2 linked regions of the Arabidopsis thaliana genome follow. The protein of the gene in region 1 interacts with the protein of each later gene in a pairwise test. Each region holds a gene or a part of one and is shown in the gene's direction. Other genes may lie near its edges.

Region 1 (4,613 bases):
GACTATATAAGCAAAAGTACAAGGTATACTTGCTTATACATAACCCTCTTTTGAATGTATAAGAAGCAACATACTATATACAATGTGCAGGATAAGCAGGGTGGTTCCATAGGCTTTGGCTTATATTTAATGGGGTTGACTCCTTCTACAAGCTCCAAGGATGATGCCATTGCAACTCAAAGAGCCAAAGATTTCTATTTCGGTTGGTGAGTCAGGCACAAACAGTTCTAAAAGGTTTTTCAAATTGGGCAACATGTGCAAGATCTTAAGCTGAAAAGAAAGAAAATCTGCTCTTTAAAACTCAGGTTCCTTGGACCTCTTATATTTGGAGACTATCCAGATACAATGAAAAGAACCATTGGATCAAGACTGCCAGTTTTCTCAGAGGAAGAATCAGAACAAGTTAAAGGCTCATCTGACTTCATAGGAATCAATCATTAGTTTGCGGCTTCTGTCACAAACATCAAATTCAAACCTTCTATTTCTGGAAACCCGGACTTCTACTCAGACATGGGCGCATATGTGACTTGTATGAATCAGACTCATTCTTTTGTATAACAAAAAAAAAACCTCTTTTATCTTTATAATTTGTTACTACTCATTTTTTCTTCGTTTTACTGGTTAGAAGACCTTGGGAATTTTTCAGTTATAGAGGTAAGAGTTTTAAGGCTACCAAATTCAGATACAAAACACCTTATATTCCTTGACATTATAAGTCTTTAAACAAATAAGTGCTACTAATCTATCTTTCATTGTTTGTTTTGTTTTTGTTTGGACAAGTATCCTGTTGCTCCGTGGACTATGGAAGCTGTCCTAGAGTATATAAAGCAGAGCTATGACAATCCTCCTGTCTACATTCTTGAGAATGGTCAATCTCTTCTATGATTAATTTATTCGTCTCTCCCTCATGTTTTTGATTTGGACTTAAAATGTCATATACAAACAGGTACACCGATGACGCAACACAAGGATACACATAGGGTGGAATACATGAATGCTTACATTGGTGGTGTGCTCAAATCCATAAGGTAAGTAAAGTTTTTTTATTGCATCTTTTCTTCTCTTATCTTGTTCGTGTAATTAAGGAAAAGGACATTGCTACGTGTAGGAATGGATCAGACACTAGAGGCTATTTTGTATGGTCATTTATGGATTTATTCGAGCTTATAGGGCGGTACGATTATGGTTATGGATTGTACTCTGTAAATTTCAGTGATCCACATCGCAAGAGATCTCCTAGACTCTCTGCTCATTGGTACTCTGATTTTCTCAAGGGCAAAACTTCTTTTCTTGATTCCAAAGGCATCAAGGAATTGCAGAGCAACTTCTCTTCTTCCTCTTAGTACTGTGATGAAATAACTCTTATGTTCTACTGAATTTAGACTACTTGTCATGAGAGCCACTTCTTTTTTTCTATAAATTCTAAATTAAACTAGTTTAGTAACTTTACACGACAAAATAATGAGAAATCACAGATGCTGAATACAAGAATTGCCCGTTTTTAAATGCTAAAAAGAAATTCGTACCCAGGCCTAAGCATGACATCAAGTTCAAGCTAGCATTGTATCAAAAAACCATATTACAGAACCATACAAACACTTGAATAGTTAGTAACTCTTAGCAAAGTTGTTTTTTACACAAAAGCATGCTAATCCGCATCAAAAAAGAGACACAAAAGAGCAGCTTCAAATTCATATACCATCCATTGTTAAGGCTGCATTTCCACATTAAAAAGAACAAAAGCGCAGCTTCCTACCTACATGTGAAAATCATAACAAAGACTGATCAGAAACTTAAGTATGTAAGTACTAAGCTAACAATCTAAACTCTAAAGCAAAATAGTTATACAAAAAAAAAAAACTCATTAATTTACCTGTTTGTCCCCCGTTTGGTTATGTTGATAAAGTTGGGATATTTTTTTCTTCAAAAAAAAAAGATTTCTACATCAAAATTTAAGAAACGACATTATTCTTACTGATCTTTAAGATCCGATAAAAGGAAAAAAAAAAACTTTATTCTTAACAAAAAAATGAGAAACAAGGATCAATTTTTCAAATATCATATAATTATCTTTTTTCTTTCTTATTCTCAATTAATAAATGTAATGTTGAATTTTGAGAATAATTTATAGTTAAAGATAAGTATATAACTTAGTAAAATATATCCTTCTACATAATCAGTTTGTTAAAAAAAAATCTACAAATTAGAAACTCCATCTAAATACGAGCTTCACAGATTGTTTCACAGAGAAAACAAAACTTTGGCTTCCTTCTCTCCTTGGTTCGTGTAAGTTGAATGTTTTTTTTTATTTTAAATTCGTGTTTCTTCTCTTCCGTTTTGCGAAGTTGATAATTTTGTTATAATCTTATATGAATATTTTTCAGGAAACATGGCTCAAGTTTGTCACACATGTAGACATGTAACAGCCGTGATCCATTGTGTTACAGAAGCTCTTAACTTCTGCCTTACATGTGACAACCTTCGCCATCATAATAACATACATGCAGAACACGTACGTTACCAACTTTGCGATAACTGCTCGATGTATCCGTCTATACTTTTCTGTTATGAGGACGGGATGGTTCTTTGTCAATCATGTTATTCGCACCATTACAATTGTGCCACTAATGGCCATCAAACTCAAGTCGTCTTCGCTAACATGAATAATCAACACCATGATCATGCACATATGCCTCATGTGGTTCACCATAACAATAACAATAATCATCAGCAGCAGCATGTGGGTGGTCACCAAAGAAGAGCAGAGATGTTTGAGAGGAGCTGCCACGGGGATAACAATTGCGAGAGATGGATGTTTGCAATGAGATGTGAGTTATGCGTAGCTTCGAATTCAAATGCTGTTGTTTATTGTCCTACACACAACCAGATTCTATGCGATAGTTGCGACCGGATGATTCACAGTCACGAGGACGCGGTGCCGCCGCATTCGAGGTGTAAGCTTTGCGTAATCTGCAAGAGACCTTCTCGCCGTTTTCTCATTGGCGGCTATCAGTTTAATTTCCCACCGGTTCATCCTCCTGCGGCAGAGGGGATTCCAGTTACGCCCCCAACAGAACTACCTCAACAAGATATTAATTATGATTATCTAGATGATGTTGATGATTTTTCTTGGTTTGGTAGGTGAATAGAAAATCGTCTTCTTTAGCTTTTTATTTATGTGTGTTTCTTAGAGTTTTCGTTAGGGGTTTAATTCTTGGTGTTATAATTGCTTCTGGATTTGAAAAAGAAAAGAAGAAGAAAAAAAAAACAATCAGTTGGATTTAATATGTTAGAAGAAAATAAAATGTCAAAACTAACTCCAATTTGTTCGAGGATGGAAGATATCATATCTTGATGTATGTATATCTCATCATTTAACTAGAAACTATCTAGAAACCACAATTACCGAAAAAACATAAAACAATTTTGCTAAAATGTTAAGAACACAAATTAATTTGATTAACAATCGATGCTTAAGGGGTTTATAGGAATTAAATAATATTTTTTTTTCAACAATAAAATTAAATTTCACTTTGCGATTTTAATTTTATTTAAGAAAGTCAAGAACCAACTCCAATATTTCCGGGGATGTGATTTTCTCAATAAAATCGTCTAATTATCTTGATTTTTGATGTTGTTGTTGTACTTTACGTGAATATCTCACAATTAGTAAGCAGAGTAGAAGATTTTGATTAGTATGACGACAAAAAATAGTACAAATAAAATTTACATGACCTTTTTTGTGTTAAAAAAAGTTACATGATGTTCTGCAAGAAAATATGCTTGTATAATAAATAATTTTTATTAATATTTTATTTCTGACTATTTTCTTCAATAAGAGAAAACATAGTCATTTTGTAAAAGGAAAGAACGAAATAAAAATGCAAATTCTTCACGTTTTGTTAAATAGATCTAATTTAGTTCTTATTTAAGAACTTAATATTACATCTTTAAACCAAAGTAAAATATACAAATATTGACAACTATCGGTCTAATTATTTCAATAAGCAAAGATTATAGAATAATTTCGTTAAGTGTATATATCGAAGAGAAAAAAACAAAGGACAAATCGGTCAATTCACTAATTTGATATAAACGGTACCAACAGATGACGAAGCGCCTCTCTATATATAGAGTACCTTCTTTCCCAAGAAACACTATCATCTTCATATTTTACATCTTCCGTTTCTTGTTTCTCTCCCTTCATCAATCATCATCAGCATTTTCCTTAAATCTTCTTCTTCTAAGAGATCTTAGTTTCACTGAAGAACGAAGATGATGAAGTCAAGACGTGAACAATCAATCGAAGAAGCAATCGTCGCAAATTATTTGAAGATGATGATCGATAACGTAAACGTTTGGCCTCGCCACTTCCTCCGAAGCGAAGACGTGTACTGCAAGAATCCGTGGACGCTTTTCGTTACTAGAGATCCTATAATCCTACACTTCGGACGATACTTCTTCGTTAATCGGAGTGTGAATTCAGGTTTAACCGATGGATGTGAATACGGTTGTTGGAGAATCATCGGTCGTGATAGAGTGATCAAGTCGGTGACGACCGGGAAGATTCTAGGGTTAAAGAAGGTTTATAAGTTCTGTGAAACTGATCGGAA
Region 2 (4,434 bases), on another chromosome or scaffold:
CCTCAAGGAATTGGCTAATACCTTCACCCTGCAACATGTTAAAGACCAAAAGAGCTAAATCTCAACCAAGCTTACAGATTCACTATTTTTCAAAGAATTGGAACCATAAACCATAGAGAAGTATGGTAATGGAGTAGGACGAACCAACAGAGAAGATTCAGGAGAAGGAGCAGTGAGTTCAGCTTGCCACTCCCGAATATTCTGAGAGATTTGGGCTTCTAAAAGCGCAAGGTCACCATGCCGCCCTTCTTTCCTAGCAGCTTGAAGATGACAGAACCTCTCCTGAAGTTCCCTTAGCTTCTCCTCCACATTCTGATGCGCCGATGTGATCTTCGGGTGGTTTGACATCTCCTCTAAACCCTGACCAAAACCATTCTCAAAAATCAACTAAAATCTTAACCACAAAATACCTTAATATTCCGATTCTCATGAGGAAGGAAACAAACACATTACCTTAAAACCAAAGCAACAGAGATTGGTATCTCTCTCTCCTTCCTCCGATCTCTGGCTATTCATCACAAACCAAAACTGATTACTTAATGGAAGGTATTGAGCAGAATTCACGACAACAACAAAGCAAAAAAGCATTTTTTTAGATCAACCCAATCCTAAAACAAACCATCAGTTCCATTAGAGTCTATACAAACAAGCAAAATTTCAACCCTAAATTCATGAAATCGAACAAAACCCTAACATGAGTCTGACTAATAAATCCATAAAATTGAGAAGAAATTCGGATAAAGTTCATACTTTTTCGATATGGATGGATACAGAGAGCTTCTTCTTCTGATGGAGACGAAGAAGACACCGGAGATATCGCGATGAAGAAGAAGAACAAGGCTAAGTTACGCCAGCAAACAGAGAGCGACGATTTTGATTTTCTCGTTTTTATTTATGAAACGCCGCGTTTCATCTTCTATTGAGGGGAGGGTGTCTTTTATGATTTTCCCAAAAACAAAATTAATAAAAAAAAACTTTTAAATTTTCCAAATTCAATAGATATGCATTAACTAGATGAAGATTATTTTTTCAATTCTTAGAGATTGGTCAATTGAGAAAACTTTAATGCTTGATTAAGGAATGAGAATAAAATTTGATAAGTTAAAATTTGTCACACAATATATATTTGACAACCGAAATTGAGTTCCTCAACCCATAAAGTTGATATGCTGATAGGGTTATAATTCTATATCCACCAATTTTGTTTACACTTGTCTAGATGTGGCATACGATTGTTAGCGTTACTGGTTTATTACTTAGTTTTAAAGTAATATGTAAGTTTTCTTAGTTATGGATATAAGCTGCAATAACTCTGAAGACATCAGGGACGTCATTGTCTATGTCCTTAATGCATACACAAGCCTTGTTTCTTTCCTTTACAGTTTCTTCTAATCAATGTCAAAATCAATTAGTAATAGTTTTGGTTTCTTTTGGCCCTCCATCACTATTCACTACAATCTCTCCATATCAAAAAACTAAACACATGTTCATATTTTTAGGCTATCTTGTGTGTATATAATAGATGTTCAAATATATATAATGAAGAGATTTGTGGAGCCAGAGATGGAATATGATGAAAATGAAATGGCAAGTTATCTCCCTGCAAGATTTTGACACAAAATATTAATGCAACACAGAGTTCCCATACCACAATAACATTGGTCTCAAGTAACTTCCAATTATAGTAACAAGCAGACACATTGCAGGCATATGAGCATCATGAGTTAAGTAGCCTCTATTCAATTCCTCTTTCTCTCCCTCTTAATCATGAAACTACCTCTTTGTCTCTTTCTTTCTCTCTTTTTATTTTATTTTTTTAAATAATTTCCACTCATGATATCTAATCGAACATAGCCTAGCCTATACTCATTATTCTCCAATATATCTGACCAAACATGTAACAGACTTAAACCCTAATAAATGATCATCCGTACATGCACCTCCTTCCTCAAGTAAGGATAAAAACCACCTTCTGTTTTTGTTTCCCTTTTGACTCTATATAACACATAGTAACTCCTCCGTAGTTACATTCTTCCTTAGTTCCTCATCAAACTCAAAAATCTCTATCTATACGGTTTTCATCATCCCCCACTCTTATTCTTTCTCACTTTTGAATTAATATATACATACATAACATCTTAGTTTATTTCATGCAGGGGAGTATCATACTATCTTCATCATTCACCACCAGCATTGATCATCATCTGTTGGAAAATATGAAGAGAACACATTTGGCAAGTTTTAGTAACAGAGACAAAACCCAAGAAGAAGAAGGAGAAGACGGTAATGGTGACAACAGAGTCATCATGAATCACTACAAGAATTACGAAGCTGGGCTGATCCCATGGCCTCCCAAGAATTACACTTGCAGCTTCTGCAGGAGAGAGTTCAGATCTGCTCAAGCACTTGGAGGCCACATGAATGTTCATAGAAGAGACAGAGCAAAACTCAGGCAGATCCCTTCTTGGCTCTTCGAACCTCACCACCACACACCTATTGCAAACCCTAACCCTAATTTTAGCTCTTCTTCTTCCTCTTCAACAACAACAGCTCATCTTGAGCCTTCCCTAACCAACCAGAGATCCAAAACCACTCCTTTTCCTTCTGCCCGGTTTGATCTTTTGGACAGTACTACTAGCTATGGAGGTTTGATGATGGACAGAGAGAAGAACAAGAGCAATGTATGTAGCAGAGAGATCAAGAAAAGTGCCATCGATGCATGTCATTCAGTAAGATGTGAGATAAGCCGTGGGGATCTGATGAATAAGAAAGATGATCAAGTCATGGGGTTGGAGCTTGGGATGAGTTTGAGGAATCCCAACCAAGTTCTTGATTTGGAGCTTCGACTAGGCTACCTCTAAATTCTTTTGATTAGCTAGTATTTGTACTTCAAAATTATATCTAGTATAATCATGTTTAGCTGAGCAGTACGTGAGCTAGAGATTGTGATTGCATTCAGGCTAATGGTATTAAATAGTATTAGGCTTAAATTTATTGGAAGTCAAAATGAAATTAAAGTTGAAAAAATCTCCATATGATTTTTTTATCAAGAGTGTTCAACAGTATATGTGTTATTTTCCTAGTTTTTTCAATCAAGAGAAGATTTTTAAAAGAAAACAACGATGTTATAATTTTTTAACTTTATTAATTGTGTTATTATTGGTTATAAATTTGTCAATTTCAATCATCCCTAATGTTGTTATACAATATGAAACTGTGTAGTAGAATTACGTGCAGTATAGAAGCTAGAAATTAGGATTAGAGAAAGTGGGTTGCATGTGTATGTGAGTATTAAGAAAGACAAAAAGTGATAAAGATTGCATTATTATAGAGATGGGTTGATGAGACACAGACGCATGCGACAAAGTGGTACTATGAAACATATAAAGATGGATGATGATCAATTGACTCATGAATAGTTAATGTTTTCATCTTTTACACTCACCATCACATCTTTATGTATAATTACATATATCTAGCATTTCTCATGCATGTCGTGAAAGCACTTAATGGTATGTGTGCGTGAAAAAAATGAAAACAATTTTCTCATTGTTGAGAAAAATGTCTTTAAATTATTCCACATTCAGTTTATATATAGTCGAAAGCCTGAAGAACCGTTGGAAGATGGAGAATTCAGAGTTGTGAATGTGACTTTGATCAAATTCGTGTGCCTAAACAAACGAGAGTTTGTTAATCAAATTAAATGCCAGGCTAATATCTAAATATGCCTCAGTCAAATTCAACCACTCATATTGACCAACAAAATGTTACTATTAAATTAAAACAATTTTATACTTCTTTGATTCATCACACGTGTGAGTGTGGATGGATATGTAGTTCAAAAAGAGACTTCATCCCTAGTTATTTCTTCAAATAATAATGTCTCTTTTCGAATATACAATCAAAAACCATTAAATTTGAACAATATTCAATTTTGATGGCATGTGATTATACTACTTTTTTTGGTCATGGAATTCAATACCATATCAACTATATTTATACTAAACATGAATGAATGTAGAGAGTACAGACAGATCAAGAGCCAAGAGTGTAGGAGACAAGATTAGAAAATTAGAAAACAAGTGATGTGAAAAGGAAACAAGAAAATGGAATGTTTGGTCAATACATTTGGGATGTTTGTGGTTTCCCCATGAACAAATTTAATCTGACATTTTCCATCTTCCCCAACAATTTTAATTTAATATATACAATCCATCATCACCTTTCCTTTTTTAGAATCGATCACTTTCCACTCTAATCTCTACGTTCCCTTCAATTCTTCCCTTTTCTATGAATAATAATTACAGTGAGTTTATTTGTGTTTGGGTGATGTGAAAGGTAAGAGATTTTCATCATGCAGCCTAATATTTTTCTACTTCTTACAAATGTATCCCCAAGTTTTAGTGTTTCTTACAATAATCACCTTCCGTTGCA

Evidence for each region.
Region 2: the proteins of BBX26 (region 1) and ZFP11 interact in a two-hybrid assay, tested with the Arabidopsis thaliana proteins (one large-scale study listed by BioGRID).

What each region holds. Positions count from the first base shown.
Region 1 is NC_003070.9:22,215,609-22,220,221, reverse strand, and holds BBX26 (B-box zinc finger family protein), read left to right. Parts: upstream 1-2,389; coding exon 2,390-3,145; downstream 3,146-4,613. Other genes in the region: AT1G60240 (NAC (No Apical Meristem) domain transcriptional regulator superfamily protein), read left to right, coding at 4,276-4,613.
Region 2 is NC_003071.7:17,655,934-17,660,367, forward strand, and holds ZFP11 (zinc finger protein 11), read left to right. Parts: upstream 1-1,890; 5' UTR 1,891-1,934; coding exon 1,935-1,952; exon of another isoform or gene 1,953-2,074; intron 2,075-2,155; exon of another isoform or gene 2,156-2,156; coding exon 2,157-2,861; 3' UTR 2,862-3,043; downstream 3,044-4,434. Other genes in the region: VOZ2 (vascular plant one zinc finger protein 2), read right to left, coding at 1-28, 145-348. UniProt on the Arabidopsis thaliana protein: Probable transcription factor that may regulate cell division and growth.